Rhinolophus ferrumequinum: one gene and its partner. The protein of the gene in region 1 interacts with the protein of each later gene in a pairwise test. Links are inferred from orthologs where the notes say so. Each region holds a gene or a part of one and is shown in the gene's direction. Other genes may lie near its edges.

Region 1 (9,706 bases):
CCACAGCGCTCTCAGCCTCCATGAGCTCCCTCATCGGTGCTTCCCGCATCCTTCACGCCCTGGCCCAGGACGACCTCTTTGGTACACTGTCCCCTGCCTCCGTGCCGGGCTCTGAGCGTGCCCTCCCGTGTCTCTCAGTCTCCGTTCAGACCCAACAGACCCAGGCTGATGGGTCTGTTGTATTTCTGTTTGCACAGGAGTGATCTTGGCACCAGCCAAGGTTGTGTCCCGAGGGGGTAACCCTTGGGGGGCCGTGCTCTATTCATGGGGCCTAGTACAGGTAAGCCTTCCTCTTTAAGCTGCCCTTCCCCTCACCCTAAGCCCCTCCTGATTACGCTCGCAGGATCAGGAGCGCTTAGGCTCTGGGTGAGAGATGTGAATGAAAGGCAGGATGCATTGGCATTTGGTGGGGGGTTGGCTCAATGTCCAGCCTCTTGGTCCTTGTCCAGCTGGTGCTTCTGGCTGGGAAGCTGAACACACTGGCTGCAGTGGTCACCGTCTTCTATTTGGTGGCCTATGCTGCGGTGGACCTGTCCTGCCTGAGCCTGGAGTGGGCCTCAGCCCCCAACTTCCGGTGAGAGAATAAGATGCCCATGTCCCCAGAAAAAGAGGGAGGAATGGGAGGAACTCAGACCAAGGTGGGGAGGCTGGGATTGGAGTGGGGTGGCCTAGTGTTCAGCCGGTCCTGAGTGTCCTTCCTTCTGTCTACCTACAGCCCCACCTTCAGTCTGTTCTCCTGGCACACCTGCTTGCTGGGGGTGGCCTCCTGCCTGCTCATGATGTTTCTCATCAGCCCCGGGGCTGCTGGCGGCTCCTTGCTGCTCATGGGCCTGCTTTCTGCCCTGCTCACTGCTCGAGGCGGCCCCAGCAGCTGGGGCTATGTCAGCCAGGCCTTGCTTTTCCACCAGGTCAGGGGAGCTTGGAGGAGGGTGGGAAGGGGAGGAGGCAGTCTGGGAAAACCTACCCTACAAGGAGGCCTCTTTTTCTCTTGGCTAGAGTTAGGGTTCCTGTCTGAGATGTGTTGAGTGGGGACTGCCCACTTAAGCCCTTCCTCCCCACCACCTTACCCTGTCCCCAGGTGCGTAAATACCTGCTCCGGCTGGACGTCCGGAAGGAGCACGTGAAGTTCTGGCGGCCCCAGCTGCTGCTGCTGGTGGGGAACCCCCGGGGTGCCCTGCCCCTGCTGAGGTTGGCCAACCAGCTCAAGAAGGGGGGCCTCTATGTGCTGGGTCATGTCACCCTGGGAGACCTTGGTGAGTTGCCCTCCATTCCTCCTTTCCCTGTCGGTCTCAGAAGCTCTTGGTGTTCTTTATGTCCCAGAGGATTCATGCTTCTTCCCAGATGAACCTTAAACAACCAGCACACAGTCCTCCCAGACCTTTTTCTTCTGCCCATTGGGGATTTGGACTCTAGGACAAAGTCCATGAGTTTGGCCCATATTTGCTGCTTTCCTTCTCTGCAGATTGCCTGCCCTCAGACCCTGTGCAGCCACAGTATGGGGCATGGCTGAGCCTCGTGGACCGGGCCCAAGTGAAAGCCTTCGTGGACCTCACCCTCTCACCCTCTGTGCGTCAGGGGGCTCAGCATCTGCTGCGGATCTCGGGTCTTGGTAAGCTGCTCCTCTCTGGGTCCCCTCTGCCTCCTTTGTGGCTCTTGTCAGTCTCTGCTATACCCGTGACCCCACCACCACCCAAGAGACTAGACCGCAGATTACAAACTCCAAACCCTCAGTTTAGTGCAGATAAGACATAGCACTCAAAGATAACAGTGTGTGGTCAGGTCTCGGAAGAGATGTTTAAGGACTAGAGATGGGGTGACACTTATTTTTTTCTGATCCAAAAATTGGGGCACAGATTCCAAAGAGTATGTTGTATTTCTGGGGATAATGGGAGAATTATTTGAGGCCAGGGGCCGCCCCATCAAATCTGTGACAGATGGTTTCTAACCACTCAAGTTCCGAGAAAGGAAGACCACTATGCACTGATATAGCCAGCAAAAGTATTGTGATGAGATGATCTTTCAGCTGGGCCTTGAAAGGGGCTGAGAAGTAGGGAGTGGTGTAACATGGCCCCCAGAGACCGCAGAGATGCAGAGGGTGTATGAGGCTGATGCTTTTGGGTGGAATGGAAGATGCCCAGCTTTGTGACTGTCTTAGTGCTGAGGCCTCCGGTCTTGCACCCCAGCTTCCTCCAAATCTTTGCTCAGCCACCTCCTTCTTTCTTAATCCCGGTACAGGTGTCTGCCCTCTCTCTGAGTGTATGCTTCCTTCTCCACTTAGAATCAGGGTAAAGATCAAGTGTTGGACATTGCCCTATTTGGTGTAAATGAGAACCCTGGAAAATGCTCAGGAGGGGGTGTGATTAGTTTAATTTGCAAGAACAGCTAGAGTTCCAAGGTGTTTTTGGATGTTGTCAAGCATTATGAGATAGACCCTGGAGCAGCTGAGGGCCTGGTCTCTCCACAGCCCCACATTTTGTGGGGAAACCTATGCCAAGAGACCACTACTTTCATGCAATTTATTCTGTGGAAAATGATTCAAATAAAAGGAAAGAGATTTCCTTTAAATAGTAAATTCTCCTGGTAACCCATTTGTTTCAAGAGAAAGGGTCTAAGGAGAGGTCTCAGAGTCTTCCTCCATAGTCTCCCCTCTTGAGGGGGTGGAGAAATTATCCAATTCCATATTGGTTGTTCAAAAACTTAAAAACCAGGAACTGTTGGCAGGGACTTGGGGCGTTGTGATTGGTACACATACAAACTCAGAGGCTCAGAGAATGGGCTGGAGTGCTGGGTACATTGTGTTCACCTGCCGCCCCAGTATTTACCATCCATGAGCCTTTGGGCAGGTGACTTCACTGCTCTGGGCCTCAGTTTCCTTATCTGTAAAAGGGAGTGAGTAAATAGTCCCTACCTCATGGTGTTGCTTCAAGGATCAGATGAGTTAAAACATGAAGTGCTTTCAATAGGACGTGGCCCCTGGTTAGTGTGCAGATAGATGTTAGCTGTCTGATCTCTGGGCGTCGTGCTTTGGACATGCCGTCATTAGGGAAAGAGATTGCACAGCCCCGGCCCTGAGTTCTCATCCTCCCCCAGCAAGGTCTGGGTGCTGTTTCCCTGGATATTGAGGCCATGAGCTTGACTAATTAGGGGGTCTGGTCTACCCAGTGGAGTCAGACTCCCATCATGAAAAAGATGTGCTGCTAGAAGCTTGGATTGAAGGCATCCTACTGCCACCAAAAGTGCTCATTAGTTAAAAGAATCTTAAGGTGAACTTGCTTTGCCTATTTAAACAGGGAAGATTAGTCATGGAGATAAGTCAAATAAATGCATGCAAATGTGGGAAAACTAAAAGTCATCATGCAAACATGCATAATGTTGTCCTAAGAGCCCAAGCACAGTGGAATGAATGTCATATCCAATGTTGCCATCAGTGTGTACGAGTGGATGTGTATCGCATGGTGAAAACTCAGCTGGTGAGTCTGATTCCTGTCGGTTCCTTCCCACCTCCCCTTCTCTGTCCCCAGGTGGCATGAAGCCGAACACGTTGGTCCTGGGTTTCTACGATGATGCTGCACCTCAGGACCACTTCCTGACAGACCCGGCTTTCTCTGAGCCTGCTGATGGCACCCAGGAGGGTGGGTCCCCAGCCCTGAGCACCCTGTTCCCTCCACCCCGGGCTCCTGGGAGTCCCCGGGCTCTCAGTCCCCAGGACTACGTGGCCACGGTAGCGGACGCCCTCAAGATGAACAAGAACGTGGTTCTGGCGAGAGCCTGTGGGGCCCTGCCCCCTGAGCGGCTAAGCCGGGCGTCTGGGGGCACCTCTCAGCCCCATCACGTGGATGTGTGGCCCCTCAACCTTCTGCGGCCCCGGGGTGGGCCTGGCTATGTGGACGTCTGCGGTCTCTTCCTGCTGCAGATGGCAACCATCTTGGGCATGGTGCCTGCTTGGCACAGTGCCAGGCTACGGATCTTCTTGTGCCTGGGGCCTCGAGAGGCCCCAGGGGCGGCCGAGGGGCGACTCCGAGCCCTGCTGAGCCAGTTGAGGATCCGGGCTGAGGTGCAGGAGGTGGTGTGGGGCGATGGGGCTGGTTCCGGAGAGCCTGAGGAGGAGGAGGAAGGGGACTTTGTGAACGGCAGGCGAGGAGACGCTGAGGCAGAGGCCCTGGCATGCAGCGCCAACGCCCTGGTTCGGGCCCAGCAGGGGCGAGGCAGAGGAGGAGTGCCTGGGGGGCCTGAGAGTGGGGATGGCAGGGAGGGGCCCACCACTGCCCTCACCTTCCTATACCTGCCTCGGCCACCTGCTGATCCTGCGCGCTACCCTCGCTACCTGGCACTTCTGGAGATTCTGAGCCGAGATCTGGGTCCCACACTGCTCATTCATGGTGTCACCCCTGTCACTTGCACTGATCTCTGATGCTCCATTCCTGAAGTGGAGTGTCCAGGTCTGGTGGCCCACTTTGATTAGTGGATGAGGAGGGGAAGGGCCACCTTGGGCCTGCCCTGCATGTGGGACACAGAGCCAGGTAGAGGTATTAGGGGATCCTGGGCTGGGGCATCTCTCTGTCTTTGGGAGAGGGGTCCTGGTGCACTAATGCTGGGAAGCTATCCCTGCCACAAAGGAGAGGGAGTCAGCCCTGCCCCCTCCCTCCCTTAATTGGTGCCTTCATGGGGGCTGGGTCTCCGCTTGTGAGTCTAGGCTACCTCAGTCTCCCTTTGCCCAACAGACTCACTGACCAGTGAGGTTGTGACGTTTTTGTTGTTTTATTTTTCTAACTGCTGAATGTCAATAAACGACCAAAACACTACTGCTGGCTGAACACTACTGATGGGATAGGTGGGACTGGAAAAGGGAGACATCTGTATAAGGGGAACCTGGGAAAGAGGAGCACTGGAATGTCCCAGAGGCGAGGTGGCCACGTGCAGGACTTGGGGAGCGGACCTGGGGGGACTCGTGGAAATGGAAGCTGCCCACGGCCCCTCAGACGGGCTCCCGTGGAAAGCCCTCCTTGTTGGGCAGGAGGGGGCCGACTCCGGGGAAGAACGCGGTTTAGGGCCTAGGGGGCCACGTGACCCTCCCCCAGGAATGCGGTGACGTCACGGGGGCGTGGCCGTCCCCCAAATTAGGGAGGAAGGGGAAAAAAAGCCAGAAAAAGTTTCTTTCCTGGAGTCCCAAACGAGGTGAGCGACCGAAGAAAGGGTCAAGTCCAGAGGCTTCGGGCTCCGTGGGACCCTGAACGCGCTGTCTGGAGACGCCCATTCTAGGCCATGTCGGGGCCCACCTGGCTCCCCCCGAAGCAGCCAGAGCCCGCCAGAGCCTCTCTGGGGCGAGCTCTCCCCCGAGGCGCCCTGGGGCCGCCGCCAGCTCACGGAGCAGGTAAGGCAACCCCTGTGCGATGGAGGAAGCCACCCGCCAGCGGGCCCCTGCCTCCCGCCGAGCTTTCCCCTGCCGCCCCTTCCCCGAAGCCAGGCTGGAAATCAGCTGCCCCTGCCCTTTCTCGGCCCTCCCTGCCTCCTGCCACATTCTCAGACCCCAGGATCTGGGGGGAAGGGGAGAAAAGGACCTGAGAGGGTCCTCCACAAGTGTCACCCTTGTCTCCTTCCCCATCCCCACCTTCACTCTCTTCCCTCACCCCAGCACTTCAGCCCCACCCCAGGGTCAATTTTTGCCCCCTCCCATCTGAGCAGTGTTACCAGGTCCCTGGGGGGCCCGAGGATCTGGGGCCAGCCTGGGTGGGTTGCCATGGAACACCCCAGCGTTCGCAGGTGAGAACTGGGATTGGGGGGTTGGGGGGCATTCAGGGCGGGAGAGGAGGCCATGTGATTTGCATTCTCCCTGCTTTTGCTCTATCCCTAGGGCCCCCCCCCAGACAGGGGGGGCCAGCGCCCAGGAAGTCTGGATGCTGAGATAGATTCTCTGACTAGCATGCTGGCTGAGCTGGATGGGGGTCGTGGTCATGCTCCTCGGAGGCCTGACCGGCAGGTGACCCCCCTGTCCTGCCCCTGCCCCCCTTTTCTTAGCCCTGTCCCTTCTCTGTCCACTCAGCCTACTCCCACTTCACCTCCCCCTCTGTGTAAGTGATGCCACACACCAGCATGGAAGGAGCTGGGCCACCAGAACTTCTGGGTTGTCAGCTTCTCCAGGGTGGGCCTTTGTCAGAAACCAGCCCTTACCTGGTGGCCACACACATGGGGTGGGGCTGGGGTGTTCACAGGTGTGTGTCCTGTAATGGGCCACCTCACTCCTTTTCCTCTGCATTTCTCCCCAGGCTTACGAGCCCCCTCAGCCCCCTGCCTACCGCCCTGGCTTGGGCTCCCTGAAGTCAAATGGAGGTGGTGTTCCTCCCCCACTGCTCCCAGTGTCCCCCTATGGGGGCCCCACTCCAGCCTCCTATGCTACAGCCAGCACTCCCGCTGGCCCTGCCTTCCCTGTGCAAGTGAAGGTGGCACAACCAGTGAGAGGCTGTGGCCCCCCCAGGCGGGGGGCCTCTCAGGCCTCTGGGCCCCTTCTGGGCCCCCACTTTCCTCTCCCAGGCCGAAGTGAAGTCTGGGGGGCTGGCTATAGGAGCCACCGAGAGCCAGGGCCCGGGGGTAAAGAGGAGGCTGCTGGGGTCTCCATCCCTGCAGGAGGAGGAAGAGGAGGCAGGTATGGGCCCCAGGTAAGCCCCAGGCACTGAGATTTGGGGTCCTCACAGACAATTGGACACTGATTGGGTGGGATGGGAGTGATATTTAAGGCCTGGTTGTCAGATGTCTGGGGTGCCAGAGCTCTGGACCCCTCTGGGGATGTGGGGCAGGTCAGGAAAAGTAGGAGGTAGGGGGCTGGAGTGGCACACTAGCTCGAGACATGTCCCTGGGCCCTGGGATGACATGTTCTTCAGCGAGAGCTTTTTTGGGTGGAATTGCCTGGTCACCCTCAGGTGTTTTGACAGCATCGAGAGCTAGAGGTAGGGCTGAACCTCTGATTCTCATCTCCCAGGTCTCCCTGAGCCAGCCTCCCGAGGAGGAGCTCGAGAGGCTGACCAAGAAGCTGGTGCACGACATGAGCCACCCGCCCAGTGGGGAGTACTTTGGTGAGCTAAGTCTGAGGGTGGGTGGAAAGGGTGGGGGGCTGGAGAGACAGAGGGATAGCAGACCTGGCTTCCTGGCCTATGCAGGTTGACCCTGTCCCTCCCTGTCCCCAGGCCGGTGTGGTGGCTGCGGAGAAGATGTGGTTGGGGATGGGGCCGGGGTTGTGGCCCTGGACCGCATCTTTCATGTTAGCTGCTTTGTGTGTTCTACGTGCCAGGCCCAGCTTCGGGGCCAACATTTCTATGCCGTGGAGAGGAGGGCATATTGTGAGAGCTGCTATGTGGTGAGTGGGTGGGGCTGGAGGCTGGAATCAGCAGAGGAGGCAAGGGGCTTCCATCTAAGGTGGGAAAGATGTCCAAATCCCAAAGAGGAAGAGCGCTCAAAGTTGGGGGACTAAAACAAGAAGGGAGGAATTAGGTAGCTAAACACCGGCTGCTGGGGGAAGGACAACAGCCCCTTACAAATGTGAGGCTTTTAGTTTGGAGTTAAAAGAGTGTTAAATTCCCACAACATGCTGTGAGGCAGATATTACTACTGAAGGAAATTGAAGCTCAGAGAAGTCAAATAACTTGTTCAGGAAGCTGCAGTGCTGGAATTTGCACTCAGATCTGCACAAGGCCACCTTTCACTAAATCATATGCAGGGGGCTCCATAAACAGATGGGTGGGGTGGCAGGATGCCTGTAGGGCTGCTGTGGGCCTCCCCAGCCCCCGACCTTTCTGACCTCCTTCCCAACAGGCCACCTTGGAGAAGTGCTCCACATGTTCTCAGCCTATCCTGGACCGGATCCTGCGGGCTATGGGGAAGGCCTATCACCCTGGCTGCTTCACTTGTGTGGTGTGCCATCGTGGCCTCGATGGCATCCCTTTCACGGTGGATGCCACCAGCCAGATCCACTGCATTGAGGACTTCCACAGGTCAGGCTGGGTCCCCCACCTTTGGCTCAGGATGTCTGGCCTTTCCTGTCTTCCTCATTTCTTCTTCCTGTCCCAGTACCAGCCTCTCCTGTTTCTCACCCTTGCCATGCCTTGTTCTCGTTAACATCACTCTTCCCCCAAATCCAAGACCATACCTCTGGGCTCTTCTGTTCCCTTCCGCATCTCATCTTCTCTGGGCTCTACCGTCAGTCCCCTCCACACCTGGGGCTTGACACCCTCCTTGGTTCCCTTCTACACCAGGAAGTTCGCTCCACGATGCTCAGTGTGTGGTGGGGCCATCATGCCTGAGCCAGGTCAGGAGGAGACCGTGCGAATTGTTGCTCTGGATCGCAGTTTTCACATCGGCTGTTACAAGTGCGAGGTCAGGGGGTCTGGGCAAGGGGTTATTGGGGTTATTGGGGTCTGGGGATATTGGGTATGGTAGAAACCAGGGGTTTGGGCCTGATGGAAAGCTGTTGCTTTTTTCCTAATAGGAGTGTGGGCTGCTGCTCTCCTCTGAGGGTGAGTGTCAGGGCTGTTATCCGCTGGATGGGCACATCTTGTGCAAGGCCTGTAGCGCCTGGCGCATCCAGGAGCTCTCAGCCACCGTCACCACTGACTGCTGAGTCTTCCCAGAAGCAACTGCTGCGTTCTTCCTTCTCATCGACCACCTTCCCTGACATCTACCTTTACAACTTTGTCACTAAATGCTGTTTTCTCTTCCTCTAATCATGAAATAATAATCTCCCAAGAGTTTACAAAACACTTTTGAGTCTATTATTGTCTCATCTGATTCTCACAGCAGTCAACACAAGCATACCTGTTGTGACTGTATTTTTAACTGAGAAGTGACTTCCCCAGATTGCATGGTTCCCAAGTGGCAGAACCTGGGTCTTCTTAGCCCTGGTCCAATTATTTGCAACTCTAGTACAGTTGGTTCTCTATCCTGGGTTCAATCAATCGAGGATAGAAAATACTCAGGAAAAAAGTTACATCTGTCTTACGTGTACTGTGTAGTTAGGCCTACCATGGTTGCACTTGGTACTGAACATGGTACAGATTTTTTTCCTTGTCATTATTCCCTAAACAGTACAGTATAGCACTTACGTTGTATTAGGTATTTATTATAAGTAACACAGAGATGATTTGAAGCATACAGGATATACGTATATAAATATGTACGTATATAAATACTACACCATTTATATGTGATTTGGGCATCCACGGATTTGGTATCCCCAGGCATCCTGGAACCAAATCCCTGCAGAGACCAAGGAATGACTGTATACTCTTCAATGTAGTTTGGTATAATGACACCCCTCCTCTCAGTGCTGGGAGCGAGGCAGCAGCATGCTCCAGGGAGGCAGCATTTCCTAGGACGCCTTCATACTCAACTCACTGAACAAGGACTTGGTGTTATACCTGGGGTGGCGCTGCATTTAATCTGGGGCAAACCAGATACTGCCTGTTTATCAAGACCTCAACCCACTGCGTATCTCATCAAAGTACTGGTTGGGGATGAGGCTGAGATCTGCCAGTTTTGCCTACAAGAGGAGCCCCCTTTGCAGCATTAGAGCAGGAACAATGGGTTTTGCAGGCAGCACATACGGAGGCACCAATAAAGACTGATCTCCGGTGGGAGCACAAAATGGTGGGAAATACTTTAAAATGGTTCCTCTATCCCGCTAAACCCCGCATTCCCCAAGCCCCTGCCCTGCGAGATG
Region 2 (9,075 bases), on another chromosome or scaffold:
GACCTGCTCTTGCCTCTGCTCCGACTCCCAGGGATTGAGTCTGCCTCTCAGCTTCTCCTGGGTCGGGGGCTGAGAGGGTGTGTAGTCTGATTATTCGTGCCCCCACAGGCTGGCACAGAATAGGTGTTTGATAGGAGCTGTCACATGGATGATGGTGGGGCAAGGTGGGGTGGGATGGGTGGCGTCAGGCCATCCCATGCCCGACTGGGGGCCGACGTGTTCTCCTGTCTGCAGGTGCTTTTGGGCTATCGTCCTCTTGGCCCTGATCCTGTTTCTGCTGGCTGGCCTCCTGCATGTGGATGTCACGATGTTTTCACCGTGAGTGTTGCACTGGGTTTTGGTCTGGGCACTGCTCCCCTCCAAACCAGTACCAGGGCCCCCAGCCTGCCCCCCTCGGGGTGGCCAGTGACTAGGATGGGTCACACGTCCCCTCCTTAAGAGGAGGGCTGGACCCTTCCTTTGGGGGACGTATTAGCTTCCTGGGACCTTCCTGTGGGCAGTGAGGAGATCTCTGAGAGGGTGGGGACTTGGCCCAGGCTGGAGGTGTCTCGGGTAAAGCTGCTGTGGGCAGAGGGTGACCAGGTACTAGGAGACGGGGGGGGCCCATAGTGGGTCAGGGGAGGTCAGCACCCCTGTTCCCCTGCCTGCCGGTGGTACGTCCTCTGTGAAGGGCATGGGCCACAGGATGGCCACACAGGCCCAGCACCTTAGCCTGGCTGCTGGGAGAGTCTTGAGGCCCCAGGCCACCTTCCCCTGCCCCCACCCCACCCCTCTGGTTGGATCTCCACGGGAGATTGGGGAGTGCAAAAGACCCCTGGGTCTCTTTGCCACCCCCTCCTCACCATTGTCCCCAGGGCCAGCGTAGACTACAGAAAATAGCATTCAGTGAATACGGGTTTGTGACAGTGGCCTTTTCTATGAGGAAAATAAAAGGATTTAAAATTCTTAAACACTTAATGCCTGTCAGAAAAAGGATCATCTTCCAATAACACTTAATTTTGCATTTCAAAAACAATGCCCAGCATTTTGGACCCTGTTTCCTACCATCCTGGGTCATCTTTACTGGCCTTGCTTTGGGGACCTGCATAGAGCAGGGTGGGCACCTACTGCTCCAATCTGGAGTCCACAGCTGGGTGGGTGCTATCATGAGATCACAGAAGTGGGCACCAGCATCCACCTGGGCCCTGCAGTCAGGTTGGCCAGTCCTGATTTGAAGGGTCAGCCAAGAAATGCCAGATGTGTGGCCCAGGTTACATGCCAGAGGCCTTGGGAACCACGCAGGAAGTTGGGAGGCTGAAGGGGGTGCCAGGGTCTGGGGGCCCAGTCTGATATGTGGGGGCAGATGGTGCAGCCACTTAGAAAGAATTGTGTCTGTGCCAGTGGGTCCTCGGGGGCTGCAGGTTTGGGGTTCTCTAGGTTAGGGGGAGCACAGAAGTGGGGCTGGGGGTTATAGGGTTGGGGTGTCACCAGTATGGGGAGTGCAGGTTGGGGGATCTTGGATTGGGGGAATCATAGTGATAGAAGAGAGTTTCGGGGTCTCCAGGTTGAGGGGATTGCTGGGTTGGGGGTCATGCAGTTGGGGGAGCAAGTTGTGGGGGTGCTGGGTCGGGGTGTCTCAGACTGCGGGTTGGTGGGGACAGGGGAGGGGCTCCGTCACTAACAGTGGCTGGCTGTGCTGTCCTCCCAGCTTGTTTGGGGACCAGGCTGAGGGGCCACCCATCACCAACGTCATGTTTCTCAAGACGCACAAGACCGCCAGCAGCTCGGTGCTGAACATGCTCTTCCGATTTGTGGAGACACGCAACCTGTCGGTGGCGCTGCCCGCTGGCTCACGCGTCCACCTGGGTTACCCCTGGCTCTTCCTGGCGCACTATGTGGAGGGCGTGAAGCAGGACGGCGCCCAGCAGCGCTTCAATGTCATGTGCAACCATTTGAGGTTTAATCTGCCTGAGGTGCGGCTGGGGCTGGGACCTCAGTGTGGGGGCAAGGGAGAGTGGTGAGGGGGTGGGGCTCAACCCCAGGGCCCACCTTTGACTTTGCGGTGTGACCGTGGGGGAGGTATCAAGGCCTGGAAGCTGCAGAGACTAAGGCTGGGGGTTGTGTGCAGGGATCTGGCAGGAGGGGGCTGGTAGAGGCCCCTTGGAACACCCTGCCAGCCCCCCACCCCTTCACACCCCACTGCCAGTTGCCAATCATTGCTTTTGGAATCTGAAGCAGGCGCCCTCACAGCCTGCCACCCTCTCCCTCTTCTTCTCCAGCCTCCTTTTGGTTCCCAAACCTGCCCAGTTTTTCCCACCCCAGGACCTTTGCACTTGCTGTCCCCTTTGGTGGGGAAGCTCTTCACATCTCCTCCTGGGGTCATTTGGGTCTCAGCTTAGAGGTCACCTCCTCTTGGGGGGCTTCCCTGACCTCCCATCCAGGAGAAAGAGGAGCAAGGAGAGGGAATTTGGGGGAGGGGTGTGGCTGTTTCAGGTGATTTGGATCATTGTGGACAGTCGTGGAGGGTGGTTGTCAGGGCAGCCAGGTGGCCTGGACATGATGCAGGGAGATCACGTGGGAGAGGTGGTGGGCAGGTCCAGGTGTGCTGTGGGGTGGGGGCGGGGGAGAAGAGACCACCTGACCCGTGGGCTGCCCCCAAGGAGCCCTGAGTGGCAGCAGGCCTTGTTTTGTCTCCACACAGGTGCAGAAAGTCATGCCCAACGACACTTTCTACTTTTCCATCCTCAGAAACCCTGTCTTCCAGCTGGAGTCTTCCTTCATCTATTACAAAGACTACGTCCCCGCCTTCAGGAACGCCGAGAACCTGGACGCCTTCCTGGCCTCCCCGCTCACCTATTACAACCAGAGTCTGAGCCTGCGAAACGCCTACGCCAAGAACAACATGTGGTTCGACCTCGGCTATGACCACAACGCGCCCGCGGAGGAGAACTACGTGCGCGCGCGCCTGGCGGAGGTGGAGCGGCGCTTTCAGCTGGTGCTCATGGCCGAGTACTTCGACGAGTCCATGGTGCTGCTGCGGCGCCGGCTGCGCTGGCGGCTGGACGACGTCGTGTCCTTCAGGCTCAACGCGCGCAGCCAGCGCAGTGTCACCAGTCTGACGCCCGAGGGCCAGGAGCGCGCCAAGCGCTGGTGCGCCTTGGACTGGCGCCTCTACCAGCACTTTAACCGCACCTTCTGGGCCCAGGTGCACGCAGAGCTGAGTCCTCTGCGCCTGCGCGTGGAGGTGGCACGTCTGCGGGCGCGGCGGCGTGAGCTCATGGCCCTGTGCCTGCAGGACGGCGGGCCCAAGGACAAGAAGCAGATCACTGACCTCCACCTGCGCCCCTACCAGTCGGGCAAGGCCGACATCCTGGGCTACAACCTCCGGCAGGGCCTGGACAACCAGACGCTGCAGGTGTGCCAGAGGATGGTCACGCCGGAGCTGCAGTACATGGCCCGTCTGTACGCCCAGCGGTTCCCGGAAAAGCCCCCCAAGGACATCTCCTTCCTGGAGGCCTGACTGTTGGCAGCCCGTCTGCTGTCATCCTGGGAGGCCTGGGGCATGGCCTCAGGCTCGGAGCAGGGCTCCTGGGGCATCTGGAGAGCCAGGCCCTGCCAGACTGTGGGTCTTATGGGTGAAAATGCCTATGAAGAGAACTACCCGTGACTCACCCTCTTGGTGAGGGTCCCAAATCTAGGTCAGTAAGCACACATGACGTGTGAGGATGTGAATCTATTCACCAAATAGAAAAGTCTCACAAGGTAGGAAAGTGAGAGTGACCATTAATGACGTCAACACACCACCTGTCAGGGGGGCATGTATGGACACACCGCCGGTCAGGAGTGCAGGAGCCCAGGGAGTGGCTGGCTGTCGTGCGGAGCGGCCTGCGGGGTCTCTGGTCCCGCTCCCCACACAAGAACGCAGGATATGGCTAGGCCAAAAAGGAACACCCACGGAGCCATAGGTAGGGGAGTCATACTACTATGGTCTCACTGGAGGCAGGGTTTACACGACGTGCGACCTGCTGTCCGCTTTGCTACCAACCGACCGACTCTCCTCCACTCTCCTTCAGTCTCCTCCTCTCTCCTCGACTTCCCTCCGTAGCCACGGCAGTTATATTAGTGGCCAATGGGTCAATGGTTACAGCTGACAGCCAACCAGCCACAGCTGATGGCTATCTACTACCTGAGCCAGCACCTTTCCACATGAGGCCGAGAGCCTGGAAACTGCTTTCTGGGGCTCTGTCCCCACACTGGCTGTCATGCAGATGAGATGGCACCCCCCTCCCGCCTTGTGGCCTCTTCCCACCCCCCTCCCCAGTTTTCCCTCGTAAGTTCTCTCAGGCCCAGAGGATCTGAAGGGACACAGAGCAGGTATGTCATTTCCTCGTGGACATCATATGATGTCTTAATGTTCCCAGAGCCTGTTTCTCCCTTTGAAGTCCTGTCACATTGAAGGGAGGGGGCAGGAAAAGGAGGGCAGGTGGGTCCCAGGACTTCCCTGAGAAGGCTGACCCTCTGAGAGCTGCTTTCACAGACAGCACCTTTCCTGATGCCCTGGCCCAGGCAGTGGTCACCCAGACATTGGCCACAGGGCAGCGGTCACAGGGCAGTGGCCACAGGGCTGCGGCCACAGGGCAGCGGTCAGCCATGAAATCACCTTGGAGACAGCAGGAGGGGATGGGTTAATGGGGCCTGGCTGGCAGGACCCTGGGGAAGGGTTGGGATACTGACCTGCCTGGTCTGAGCCAGGCTCCTGAGCACAGACATGGGGTTGGAGCCCAGTGAGGGTGGCAGGTGCTGAGTCCTGGGGGCTGGGGGAGAGGCAGGCTGGCACATAGGCTGGGGTGTGAGGGTTCACGGAGGTTCCTGGAGGCTCTGAGCACTCACTTTTGTTCTTAGGGGACGGGTCTCTGCAGGATGCCTGGGGGCAGCTGTGGCCACCCTGCCCCCAGGTCCTGAGCACCTCCGGTGGAGTGGGTCAGCCAGCATAGAGGAGCCCTGTGTGGCCCCGTCCTGACACTGTCCCCCACCCTGGGTGTCCTGCTGCACCAGAGCCGCAGGGCTGGCAGGAGGGTCCTGGGTCCTGACGCAGCTCTGGGACAAGGCCAGCTCCCGCCTCCCGCCCATACAGTGGGCCCTTGTCTCTGCGTGCTCACTGGGGCTGAGAGGCAGGCAGGCACTCCCGTGGCTACCCCACAGCCAGCTCTGCGGCTTTCCTGCGGGTGCCTGGTGAGTCCCCTCCCTGCTCGCTGCACCCTGGCTGCCGGGGGCCAGGATCGGGCTCTTTCTGTCCCCTCTGGCTGCCCCTCTTTGGGCGGAGGGCCATAGGTGTGTATTCCGCGGGCCCTCCAGTCAGAGGTTCCACACGGATCCCCAGTGGAACAATTTCCTGGCCCCGGGGCAGGTGTGACATTGAAGGGCGGGGTGAGGAGGTGGGAGGGTGTGGGGGGTAAGTTAGGGATGGGAAGGATGCAGACTGGTGTCAGGCGGCAAGACGGAAGCCGAGGCCCGGCCCCAGCCTGCAGGGTCAGATGGGCCTGTGAGTGAGGATGCTCCACCAGCCGGAGGGATCTGTAACTGAGTCCTTGCCTGGGACAGAACACAGGGCACTCAGGTTAGATGGAACCCCAGCCTGAGGTGCCAGAGCCAGGGAGGTCCTCTTCCTGGTTTCTATGCAGAGGGCCTCTGCTCTTCATGTGTGCATTTTAGTTCCTTGTCCAAAGAACAAAAGAAGTGGTGACACAGGAGGGAGGGTGTGGAGCTAGCCTGCGTGCTCCAGCACAGAGTCCTGACAGGACAGGCTGTGGGCAGGTCTGGGGCAAGCCCCTGTGAAGGCAGAATGACCCCCAACAACTTTCCCGGGGTCCAGGGTCAGAGGCCAAGTTCTCTTGGAGGCCTCAGTTTCCCCTTCTGCGATGTGCCTCTCCCAGAGAGCCCCACTGGGGAGGGAAGATGGGTACCAAGAAATAGAGGGGCTGGCTCCAGTTAACCCTGGTATGTAGACATCGGATCAAGCCAAAGCTGTGGAACCTGCTGAATTGGCCAAATTGGGCAGGGCTGACTCTTCCTCTTAGATTGAGGGGGCTTCCCCAGGACTTTGGGGCTCTGGCCCGGGCAAGGAGTGCCCAGCAGCCCTGTCCCATTCTGTCCAGCTGGTCTTGGGGGCCTCCGTCTCTTCCATCTGTCCCCAGAAGGGGGTAGACCTGGGCCCCTTGCTTCTGCGCCCAGTGGTCTCAGTACCAGGGGAGAGAGCCAAGTGGAGAGAATGTCCCACTGTGTCCATTCAGCCTGGAGGGACACGTGGCACTCACATCTGTGTGCTGCTTGGGCACAACTGCCCCTTGGATGCAGACTGGGAATGGGGCCCAGGGCTTCAGGGACATGGGCAGCTGTTGTCCGAAACCCCAGAGCCGAGTGGGGTGGGCAGACCTGAGGTTAGGCAGGGGTCTGCTAGGCTCAGCGGGCAGCAGGGCCATCCTGGAGAGAGGTGGCTCAGGTCTGTCTGTGTCAGGGACCTCAGGCATGGAGACACCCTATCCTGTGCGTCGGAGCGAGGCCCCTCTCGTTTAGGGGTGTGTGTGTGTATGTTCATTCTCATCATATGCTGCCCATCCGATGGTCTCCTCCCATATGCTGTGTGCCTTCTCCCCCTCAGCGACATCTGCAGCACCCAGCCCACCTGGCCCACCCTCCCTGGGACCCCTAATTGGGGACACTGAACCCCTTCTTGTGCAAAGCCTTGTGTTTTGATTGGGCACTTGGGCAGCTGTGTGCTGAGCAGGTTCATGAGGACATGTCCCAGGCACACAGGTGGGTCGGTCGGGGGTTCTGGCCATGCTCCCCTGCTTCACCTCGGTGAGCTGTGCTGACAGGAAGGGCTGATTCCAGACATTTGGGGAACATTGGCTGTGGAGGAGGGGTGGGTAGGGATCCAGGGATAGGACGGTAGGAGGTGGGCACAGGAGTTGGCTGGGCGTGGGTGGGGGCGTCTACGCCTGCAAAGCCCCCTCCTCCATCCAGACCAAGAGAGCTTGGACCCTGCCTGCTGACCCGCTGGTCCTCGGCCCGCAGAGCATGGGGGTCCCCCGAGTCCCCGCACGGAACGTGCTCTTCCAGAGCGAGAGAAGCGGCCTGACCTACCGCGTGCCTGCGCTGCTGCCCGTGCCCCCCGGGCCCACTCTGCTGGCCTTCGCGGAGCAGCGACTCAGCCCTGACGACACACACGCCCACCGCCTGGTGCAGAGGCGCGGCACGCTGGCGGGGGGCTCCGTGCTGGTGAGAGATTGGGCAGGGGGGGAGGGGTCGGGGGTCGGGGACGGGCGCCCAGTGTGTGAGGGCAGGAAGCTGAAGCCCCTCACCTCCCGCCAGTGGGGCGCCGCGCGTGTGATGGGCACCGCGGCCCTGGAGGGGCACCGCTCCATGAACCCCTGCCCGGTGCACGATGCGCGCACCGGCACCGTCTTCCTCTTCTTCGTGGCGGTGCGCGGCCGCACGCCCGAGGCCGCACAGATCGCCGCGGGCCGGAACGCCGCGCGCCTCTGCTGCGTGACCAGCCAGGACTCGGGGCGCAGCTGGGGCGGAGCGCGGGACCTCACGGCGGAGGCGGTGGGCGGCGCCGAGCGGGGTAGGTGGGCGCACGCGGGTCCACACCGGGGGTGGTCTGCAGGCGATAGGGTGGGGGACAGTCTGGCTCCTGGTCCCTGGGCTGCCCGTCCCGCTCCGCCCCGCCCCCAGCCTAAGGGACCCGACACAACGTTTGTGGGTGGTTGCATCCCCGAACCCCTCAGTCTCCCAAACGGCTGTTGGTCACACCCAGCCTGGCCTGGCGACAGGAGCAGGCTCTTCCATCTTCCTGAGCTGTGTCTGAATCTGAGCCCCCAAACCCCAAGGCCTCCACTCCTTAACCACTTCCTCCTCCTGCTCCTTCTCACCTCGCCCAGTGAGTCCCAGCCGCGGGTTGCCGGCAGGTCCAAGGTCGGCCTTACCTCATAGTTTTCCCTCCACTTCTGCTGGCCCCTCCCCAAGGGCCTGACCACCCACTGCTCTCAGGGGCCACCCCAATCCTGGCAGGTGGGAGTAAACTGAAGGTCGTAGCAGGCTCTGAGACCTGGACAGGACACACAGAGCTAATGAAAAAGTACCTGCTGGTGTAGACCCCACCCCCCCGGGCCTGGGCTCAGGCCAGGGGAAGCTGCCTGAGACCCAGTCCTGAAGCTTGGCTCACCCGACCCCTGGGCTGCCCCTCTGTCTGGCCAGTGCTCACACCAGTGTTCAGAGACTGGCCACCTGCTGACATGCTGAGAATCTAGCCAAATGGCCTGCCTGGACTCCCCACTCCTGCTAAGGGCCTGGAGAGGCTGGAGCAGCTGGGAGGACACAGGGTGGCTGGGAGGAGGGGAGGCGTGGTCAACGGGAGGCTTCCTCACAAGCCATACCGTAGACTTAGGCACTGTCCCCCACCTCGCCCTCTCCCTGCATCTTCCCAGTCCCTCGCAGCTGAGGCTGTCCCCTTCTGGGGTAACCAGCAGCCCCTCCCATCTGCAGACTGGGCCACGTTTGCTGTGGGCCCTGGCCATGGCATCCAGCTGCGCTCGGGCCGCCTGCTGGTACCAGCCTACACCTACCGCGTGGACCGACGTGAGTGTTTTGGCAAGATCTGCAGGACCAGCCCCCACGCCTTCGTTTTCTACAGCGATGACCATGGCCAGACCTGGCAGCATGGAAGCCTCGTGCCCAACCTGCGCTCGGGCGAGTGCCAGCTGGCTGCGGTGGATGGAGGGCAGGCTGGCAGTATCCTCTACTGCAATGCCCGGAGCCCCCTGGGCAGCCGTGTGCAGGCGCTCAGCTCAGACGAGGGCACCTCCTTCTTGCCTGGGGAACTGGTGCCCACCCTGGCCGAGACCGCCCGTGGCTGCCAGGGCAGCATTCTGGGCTTCTCGGCCCCGCCCTCTTGCAGGTCTGGGGATGAGGGATGCTCAGTGGGTCCCAAGAAGGCCCCCTCCCTTCCAAGCCCGTGTCCTGGAGTCCAGACACCCCTAGAGAAGGGTGCTGGAGACACCCAAGGGGGTGGGGGGCTGGGTGGGACACAGGGGT

The links.
Region 2: the proteins of TRIP6 (region 1) and NEU4 interact in binary tests that used the Homo sapiens proteins (3 or more experiments, as listed by UniProt). The two-hybrid records come from large-scale screens. The link is inferred for Rhinolophus ferrumequinum from reciprocal best matches to the Homo sapiens genes TRIP6 and NEU4.

Annotation. Positions count from the first base shown.
Region 1 is NC_046290.1:91,071,577-91,081,282, forward strand, and holds TRIP6 (thyroid receptor-interacting protein 6), read left to right. Parts: upstream 1-4,937; 5' UTR 4,938-5,262; coding exon 5,263-5,371; intron 5,372-5,632; coding exon 5,633-5,760; intron 5,761-5,851; coding exon 5,852-5,977; intron 5,978-6,263; coding exon 6,264-6,653; intron 6,654-6,973; coding exon 6,974-7,067; intron 7,068-7,178; coding exon 7,179-7,348; intron 7,349-7,803; coding exon 7,804-7,982; intron 7,983-8,243; coding exon 8,244-8,364; intron 8,365-8,476; coding exon 8,477-8,608; 3' UTR 8,609-8,747; downstream 8,748-9,706. Other genes in the region: SLC12A9 (solute carrier family 12 member 9), read left to right, coding at 1-81, 198-280, 450-574, 716-908, 1,079-1,253, 1,463-1,609, 3,522-4,411. UniProt on the Homo sapiens protein: Relays signals from the cell surface to the nucleus to weaken adherens junction and promote actin cytoskeleton reorganization and cell invasiveness. Involved in lysophosphatidic acid-induced cell adhesion and migration.
Region 2 is NC_046291.1:66,431-75,505, reverse strand, and holds the start of NEU4 (sialidase-4), read left to right. Parts: upstream 1-4,307; 5' UTR 4,308-4,353; intron 4,354-5,125; exon of another isoform or gene 5,126-5,310; intron 5,311-5,452; exon of another isoform or gene 5,453-5,596; intron 5,597-7,002; exon of another isoform or gene 7,003-7,053; 5' UTR 7,054-7,056; coding exon 7,057-7,257; intron 7,258-7,350; coding exon 7,351-7,606; intron 7,607-8,526; coding exon 8,527-9,075. Other genes in the region: GAL3ST2 (galactose-3-O-sulfotransferase 2), read left to right, coding at 235-318, 1,688-1,952, 2,681-3,499. UniProt on the Homo sapiens protein: Exo-alpha-sialidase that catalyzes the hydrolytic cleavage of the terminal sialic acid (N-acetylneuraminic acid, Neu5Ac) of a glycan moiety in the catabolism of glycolipids, glycoproteins and oligosacharides.